Neodiprion lecontei: one gene and its partner. The protein of the gene in region 1 binds, or shares a complex with, the protein of each later gene. Links are inferred from orthologs where the notes say so. Each region holds a gene or a part of one and is shown on either strand. Other genes may lie near its edges.

What was found.
Region 2: evolutionarily conserved signaling intermediate in Toll pathway, mitochondrial (region 1) and complex I intermediate-associated protein 30, mitochondrial share a complex: the UniProt entries of both Homo sapiens proteins name them as parts of the mitochondrial complex. The link is inferred for Neodiprion lecontei from reciprocal best matches to the Homo sapiens genes ECSIT and NDUFAF1.

The regions. Positions count from the first base shown.
Region 1 is NC_060261.1:8,888,046-8,892,018, reverse strand, and holds evolutionarily conserved signaling intermediate in Toll pathway, mitochondrial, read left to right. Parts: upstream 1-1,726; 5' UTR 1,727-1,936; coding exon 1,937-2,852; intron 2,853-2,939; coding exon 2,940-3,238; 3' UTR 3,239-3,244; coding exon of another isoform or gene 3,245-3,270; 3' UTR 3,271-3,329; downstream 3,330-3,973. Other genes in the region: coiled-coil domain-containing protein 137, read right to left, coding at 413-616, 693-1,344, 1,420-1,496.
Region 2 is NC_060266.1:45,252-49,419, reverse strand, and holds complex I intermediate-associated protein 30, mitochondrial, read right to left. Parts: upstream 1,980-4,168; 5' UTR 1,794-1,979; coding exon 1,438-1,793; intron 1,220-1,437; coding exon 691-1,219; 3' UTR 554-690; downstream 1-553. UniProt on the Homo sapiens protein: As part of the MCIA complex, involved in the assembly of the mitochondrial complex I.

The DNA of each region.
Region 1 (3,973 bases):
CTTGGCATTTCACAAGATAAGAGGCTCTTATTACTTGTTTTGTTCTTTACAGCACTGTTATTTTATTTTAGATTAGTTGAAACCGTTTGCTTCATGTTCATCATCGTCATCAATAACAAGCAAAAACAATCTATGACCATTTAAATCGCTGTTTTACTGTAGCAAATGCTATTCATTTTGTTTCAATATTATCAATGACAATTTTAGCAAAGTGTAACCTCCCACAGTTTTCCCAACTACTTCTCTGCCAAAGTAGAATACCGTGAAACTTAACCTCTATATTATATATACTCTAATGTAATTAAAAAAATATCGTAAATAAACTGATCAATTTACACACACATTTCGTCCTTCTATTCTCTGCTAAGGCTCTCATATGTACAAATACTGATCACACGGCCATTGCCCATGGTCATAAATCAGCAGCTTTCCGAGACTTCAGGTTTCTGTATGCAGTTATGGCTTCTTTCTGTCGTTCCTCCAGTTGTCTTCTTTCCCCAACCGGGAGATCTTTGCGTTTTCCAGATCTATTGACAGACTTAACGCCTGTTGTGTTCTCGGCAGATTTGTCATGGCTCTTGAAAAGCGAATCAAGAAGAAGACGTCTTCGTCCAGGCTATCGGAAAATCATCGGTAAAATTAATCCAAAAAAATACAACGCATAACTAATCAAATATTGGTAAGGTTTTTACCCGTTCGGAGTGAGAAGCGTCTGCTTTTTTCGGTTTGATTTTTAGTTCTGGAGGAGCGTGGACAACATCTCCAAATTCAATAGTCTCCTTGAAGACCTTGAACTCGTCTATATTGTCCTGCAGTTTTTTAGTTTTTTTCAACTCGAGCTTGTGTTTCCTTTTCTGAGCTTTCGTCAGCCTAGTCGTCTCGGTGTCTTTCTTCTTTTTCTTTTTCTTCTTGGTATTACTGTGCTTCAATTTGAGTCTCATTAATTCATCTATCTCATCCTTCGATCTCTTAGACAATCCTTCGATATTACCAGTACTTGGATCTCGCTTGACTTCCACACCATATTTGTCTTCAAACGCAGTCTCATTTAAGAACGCCTGAGTCTCCGAGTTCACTCGGTTCAAAAAAGCCTTTCCACATTCGTCTGGTCTTTGCGAAAAAACAGGAACAACTTTCTCCGGTCTTGCCTTGGGATGAGCGATCTGTGGATGGTGATTGCCCATCACGATCAGTTGATTTTTCAGCTTCGTTTTTTTCTTGGTATTTTTCTTCATCATCTTACCGTCCTTCACGCTTTGCTTCAGCTTCATCACGCGCTCAAGACTCTTCGGTATCGCCTGCTCATCCTTGTCCCTCGGCGGCGCGTTTATCACTTTGTTTAACCTAAAATTTGACACGTTACGATGATCAACTTAACCTACAAAATTTAATCACACAACTCCACGCAACGATATTTACTCTGATAAACGCTTCTTTTGTTGCTTAGTCGGGTCCTTCACTCCTCTGTGTTTTTTTCCGGGTATCTTGCGTCCCATTTTCACTTTATTTCATAACTTCAATGTTTCGGCTGTACTTATGTACTAGTTCCAGCAGCACGCACGCTTCGAATTTGGACCAACCAAACTTATTGTTTAGCCACGGATCGCAAATCCCGACAGTGCTGCACTCGTGCGGAGTTTTTACGAACGATTTTTGTGCGGCAAAATTTAAATTTGGTGAATCACCCACCGGTGGAGGCTCCGCCGGCCGCGGTGTTGAGAAAATATAACCTAACCTCTCAGCAATCTTATAACCTCGGTGTGTAACCGATATTACGGAATGGGATGTTAAACATAGAGGTTTTTCAAAGAATATCAATTACACATTGCATAAAATACGAAAATCGTTTGACCGGCACGCGGATTTAAGCATTACGACTATGATCGTGCCTCCGTTAATTTGAGAAATACAACAAACCATTATACCAAGTAGCAATATGACATCGATAATAAGAAGATCGTATGTGTTGCTCAGGGTTTATCCAGGAATGAGAAAAAAGTTGATACTGCACGACCTGAAAAGTTACCGACCAACAACAGCTTTGCGTTGCATATCTGTGACCAGCGCTCATCTGTCTAAAGACAATAGTAACAAAAAAAATGAAGGTAGCAAGGCGGTGAGTTTTTACGGGTTTGCACAGGTTAGAAGTAAGGAGAAAAAAACGTACTTAGACGTACTGCGAATGTTCGTCGACAGAGACATTCACAGGCGAGGTCACGTCGAATTCATTTACGCAGCAATGAAGCACATGGAGGAATTCGGAGTCGAAAAAGATCTAGAGGTATACAAAAACTTGATCAATGTACTACCGAAGGGGAAGTTCATTCCGGAGAATACGATACAGGCTGAGTTCATGCATTATCCAAAGCAGCAGCAATGCGCGATAGATGTCCTTGAACAGATGGAAAACAACGGAGTTATACCAGACAGGGAAATGCAGGATATCCTTCTCAACATATTCGGTAAGCTGGGATTTCCGCTGAGGAAGTATTGGAGAATGATGTACTGGATGCCCAAGTTCAAAAACGCGAGTCCATGGCCATTGCCAGAAGTTTTGCCCAATGATTCTCTCGAGTTGGCCAAACTGGCCATAGAGAGAATTACTAGCATCGATTTGCTCCGAAAAATCACAATCTTCCAGGCAAAAGATCTCGAAGATTCCATTGACGATACTTGGATTGTTTCTGGAATGAGTATTGGTCAGAAAAAACTGCTTAACAAGCATGCTTCCACAGCCCCCATATATGTGGAAGGGCCTTTTAGACTTTGGTTAAAAAACTTGACCATTAATTACTTCATACTGAGGGGAGATCCTGTTCCAAAACCTGACCTACCACCGCCTGACGACGATGGTAAGAAATATTCTTCTAAAAGTGATTTGTTGTCTTTTTCCTGAAACTCTCTTCGCCAATCTAATTAACAATAATGATCTTTTCCAGACGTTAGTAAAATTGAATTGCCATTTTGGAAAACAAAAAAATCTGTGGTACCGACTGAAGATGAGACGGCGATTCACGAGCAAGAGGATGGCACGATATTTGCTGTTTGTGCGACTGGAACCTCTAGTCGCGACTCTCTATTATCTTGGATTAGATTTTTACAGAAAGAGAATGACATCTTAGCTAATATTCCCATTATATTTAAGCCAAAGAGTCCCTTAGGCGACGTTGTATTGGCCAATAATAAATCTGACAAACCTAAAGATGAGGGAGTAGAAAATAAAGTTAATAAAGATTAGAATTTCATGTAAACAATTTCACCTGTACATAGTAAATAAAAAATCTGCGATCGTCGCTCAGCAATGCTTGAGCTATTTATTAAAAAAATAACATTGACTGGTGTGGTTTTTTAATTTCCCTGTAACTTGTTCAGTTTATTTTTTCTCTATCGCAATATTCTTCTAAATATGTATCAAGGTTTACATTTCAATGATAAAATCGTCGTAACTGAATGCGAAGTAAAGAATTTAAATGAATCGGAAAACTTACGCTGAAACTGTTGCGTGTTTAATTTCAATTACACGATCGCGCTGATCGAATGTCAGTTGAGCAGCGCTGTTTTCATCAAGAAAAAAAAAATCAAATCCCTATAAGAATGAAAACCTTGTCGCGGACGTATAAAAAAAATTAAACGATTAGCGTGAATTAATTTTCTCCGAGTCGTAATGACGGTTTAAAAATCTGTTCAAAACAAGGATAACTATAACGGGCAATGAAAGTATTTCTATGCTAACTGTGATAGGTAAATATCACGTATGTAGAAAAATCACATCACCCCAGCAGCTGATAGGATAAGATGGCCGCATGTGATACAAACAAATAATGGCGAGAGATCCACAAAGTTCGCGGGAATAATGCGGGTGAACGGTAAGTGGCATCTCGTACATTAGGTTTAAAAATATTCCGTAAAAGTTTGACATTTCATTCAGAAATAGACTGTCAAAGATAATCCGCGCGCGGTACTCGTTCACCGC
Region 2 (4,168 bases), on another chromosome or scaffold:
TATAACAGTTACAGCCATGTTTACAGGTGGATAGTAACTAAACTGGTTGAGATCCAAGTCAATCTTCGTCCGCTTTCCTATTGACGAAATCGATCACGGTATAACCGGATGTAATATCAATTGTACCAATCACATTCTACTGCATAAATTTGACGCCGAATCGACCCAGCAGGTGACATGAAAGTCGTTTTCTTCCTGTCATTTTCTGTTTGCTGTTATACCTAAGGGACGAGATAGCTAAGCTGGACATTTTCTAATGGCTGGATAGGCATTCTAATAAAAGCTGTGATATCCGAACTGAACCGGCAATCCTGTGCCGTGATGGTAGTAACGTGCAATTTGACTACAAACAACGGACCTGGCTTACCGGCAGGTGTCTTGATGAACGCTCGTGGAACGTTAGTTCAACTAATAATTAAATTTAGGTGAAAACATGAATGATTAGGTTTTGTACGATTTACATTTTTTATCCTGTATGAAGAAAATTCAGCAGAGACAGTTACTTCTTAGCAGGGAGAGAAGATATTGAATGGTCTATCCATTCAGAGTCATATATGTTTATGAGATTTTTTATTATCCTACGTGAACCTGGCTACAATTTGATTTCCTCCACGGAGAATTATAATTACAAACAGAAATTTCTGAGCTGTTGAAATGGAGGAAAAACAGATAAATGTCTGTGCAACTACATCAATATCCGGCGATGTAGTCGTCAGTTTTGTACATTTCATACGCACATTCTTCCTTATGACTTGGATCAAATAACAATCCGATGTAGTCAATTTCCAAGTTAAACGGCCCTGTCACCTTGTCAGCTGCGGTAATTCCGAAGCTAACTACATTGTGCAGGGGTAATGGCTCTTGGTGGTCTTGGATTCTTCCTTTGCTGGCCATGAAGAATTTTGAAAAAGGTATTTTCACATACTGCCAATAAGGTCCACCTCTTGTGTAGAGTGCATAGTGATAGACATCATTCCAAGTTATATCAAAGTATCCAGCTGTCGATATGTTGAGCATGTAGGATCTACCGTCCCCTCTAACCCGCATTACCAGATGATTATAGGGATGCCAGTCATAGTAACCTTCTCGTTTGAAGGACTTGCGAGCACGTAGAGTATTAATGTTGCAATATCCTGCCTTTTTGATGTTTCCTGTTTTTGGTACACGTTTGTCCAAGTATCCAGAAAACAGCCCTCTGCCAGACTTGGTCAATTGCAGGCTTCGCGTGGATAGGAAAAGCGAAAAAAAATCGTTATTGAAATTCTCAAAGGATTTTCTCGTGTCGAGGAATAGCATTCCAACGTGTCGTAACTGTACTGCAGTGATTATAGTTTAGATATTTATGCGATTTGGGGCCGGATTCATGAAACTAGGCTGCAATATTTGAGGTCCTTGTTTCACGAATCGTGGGCCTGAATGCAAATTTCTCATAATCACCTGCAATTTGAGTAACCTTCCTCATAGTCACTATCGGCGGTGACAAACCATTGGTCGAGTGACTTTTTGTCACCGTTGAACCGCCAAGCGAGGTCAATTTCGTCCTTTCGATATATCAACAACGGATCACTTTCCAAGTGTTCAATTACCTCACGTTTGAAGAGTTTAAACTCGTCCCCGAGTATACGAAAGCCATTACGAATGTGCCAGAGGTCGTTTCGTTTTTCGGATGAGCTTTTTGCTGCGACTCGCGGATAACCTGATTTGCGATCTTGTTCCCAAAACCGACGTACTTGTATCCCAACGTGTTCACATCTGGTGACTGTTGCCACCATCCGTGGAATCCTGAAGTACATCACTACTGATGATACGCGCCGTGCAACATACTCCACCGTAATTCACTTGCCGATACTGTCTGTGATAATAAACGAACGCCTAGTAATATCTTTCCCGTGCCACTTCGTTGCATCGCCAGTAATAAATACATGTGACAATGGACACAGGGGCTGCCTGCTACGTACATACGTGCATACATACGTGTTGGCGTTGGCGTGGGGGGGGGGGGGGGGGGGGGGGCGGCTTCTGTTGTGTATGCAGCAAACGAAAGTACGTTCGTTTCTACAATGGGTTTCTACTTCGCAGCAATTTTGATGCATGTATGTACAGCAAGATCCATGTGTGTATGTACACCATTAATCATTGACCAATCAGAAAATTTTAGCAGCTGCCGCATTCGGTTGTTTGCTGCACGTGAAAAAGCAGCGTAAGGGTGCTATTTCACGAGCAGTAAAAAGCAGCAGTGGTTTAGTAACTTACTAGTTTTCACTAGCATCAGTCTGCTAATTTTACGCAGCAGCAGCACTGCTCATGAAATAGGTCGTGGCTTCTTGTGGTCTTGTGGCTTGTCGCTCGAGAAACCGAACTGCGAGCAGCAGAAACTTGCACCGGAAGTGATAGGGGAAAACTGCTGCTGCTTTTTACTGCTCGTAAAATAACACCATAATTCTTCATCTTTCTATAATTGCCAATAGTTTGATTTGATAGCACGGAAAAGTACGAAGGAGACAATTAAAACTGCGATAAAACTTGTCCCCAGTTTTGAGGTAACCTTAGTGGTATGTGCTCTGAGGAGGTAACGTAAGAAGAATTGTCTGATCGCAATTTGAGCGCCTCTTACGGAAAAAAGGGAAATTTTCGCTACAAAATGTAAAAAAAGAAGGATGCTGATCGTAACCTATTAAGGGTGTATTCCGAAATATACTTCCGGTACTGCCGACCGTGACGTTACGCAGTCAACTGCGAACTGCGTACCGTTTTTACTTCGAGTTGCCAGCCGCAATAAAATCGGAACGCTACACCGAGGACGCGGCCATCTCTCAAGTAGTGCAGCTGCCTCACATCCCCGACCGCAGTAGTCGCAGTCAACAACATCACAAATTTCATGACGTCACTGAGTGGCGGCAGTAAGCTGTCGCGCGATTTCGGAACGTGGTTGCCAGTACTTGCAGTACTGTCAGTATATTTCGGAATACACCCTATGAAACGAGGACGCCTCTGAGATTAAAGGAAGCCTTCATCAAGGCGTCCTTTATCCTTGAAATAAGGAGAGACTATGAATACGGGTATATATACAGGCGTTTAAATCGCACCCTGACAAGGTCCCTAGATTATACCAGGTCAAGACACGCGTGTTCCAGTTTTTCTCACTATAACGTGGGCAAAAATTTCTAGGCGCGTTCGCCCAAAAGTATCTTATAGCGTTTTCCACCGGGGTTTACTTAACATTACTGCATTTACCAGTTTTGACCAATCTTGCTCGATTTTTTGAGTTTAAGCATTAACGAGTTGCGCCCATACACCCGTATTCATAGTAACTCCTTATCTCAAGGATAAAGGACGCCTTGATGAAGGCTTCCTTGAATCTCAGAGGCGTCCTCGTTTCATAGTCACAACTTGGCTCTCCCTTCCAGAAGGAGGACATATTTAGGGATATGAGATTGCTTATGGTGGTAAAACTGCTGATCGAAGCGCCACTCGGCTGTATTTAAATCTAACTTAAACCACTTGGCTCTCATTGTCAAGTCGCGTCGGTTGATGAGAGTGTGTAACCTCAAAGAAGTTAACCCGTAGACTGGCTGTGATCCGCGTCATACGGGTCATAAGTGCATAGACGCCGAGCGCAAGCGTTGGCTACATGAAACGAAACAGCCAATCGCAGTGCCGAAGGTTTCCTCAAGGAAGCTCGTGTAACGTCCGACCGGAACGTCCGTATGTTTTATCGATTATTATTACTGCATGTTACTTTTATCAACTAACCAAACTCGAAGTACGAGAATCTTGTAACCATAAGAAATTAAAACAACTGTCTAACTATTTGGAATATCCCTAGATGGAAATAACTATGAAATTCACTAGCCAAGGCTTAAAAACCATGTTACGAGATCTTCGTACCACAGAGAACTATAATACTATTATACGTTATTATATATCACTATCATATTAACACTATAATTAACTAACACAATTATACCCAATTATTATATAGCACTCAACAATGCCATTTGTGCATTCGGAGCTGAGAGCTATACTTAAGCAACATACGCTTTACTATATAGCCTGGAGTATAGAAGACTGTAAAACCATAGATAAATGCATAACCAATATAATGTAAAGATAGCACTGCTGCAATAACCCATAAAACCAGAGACTGCAAAACCATCAAACCGTGAAT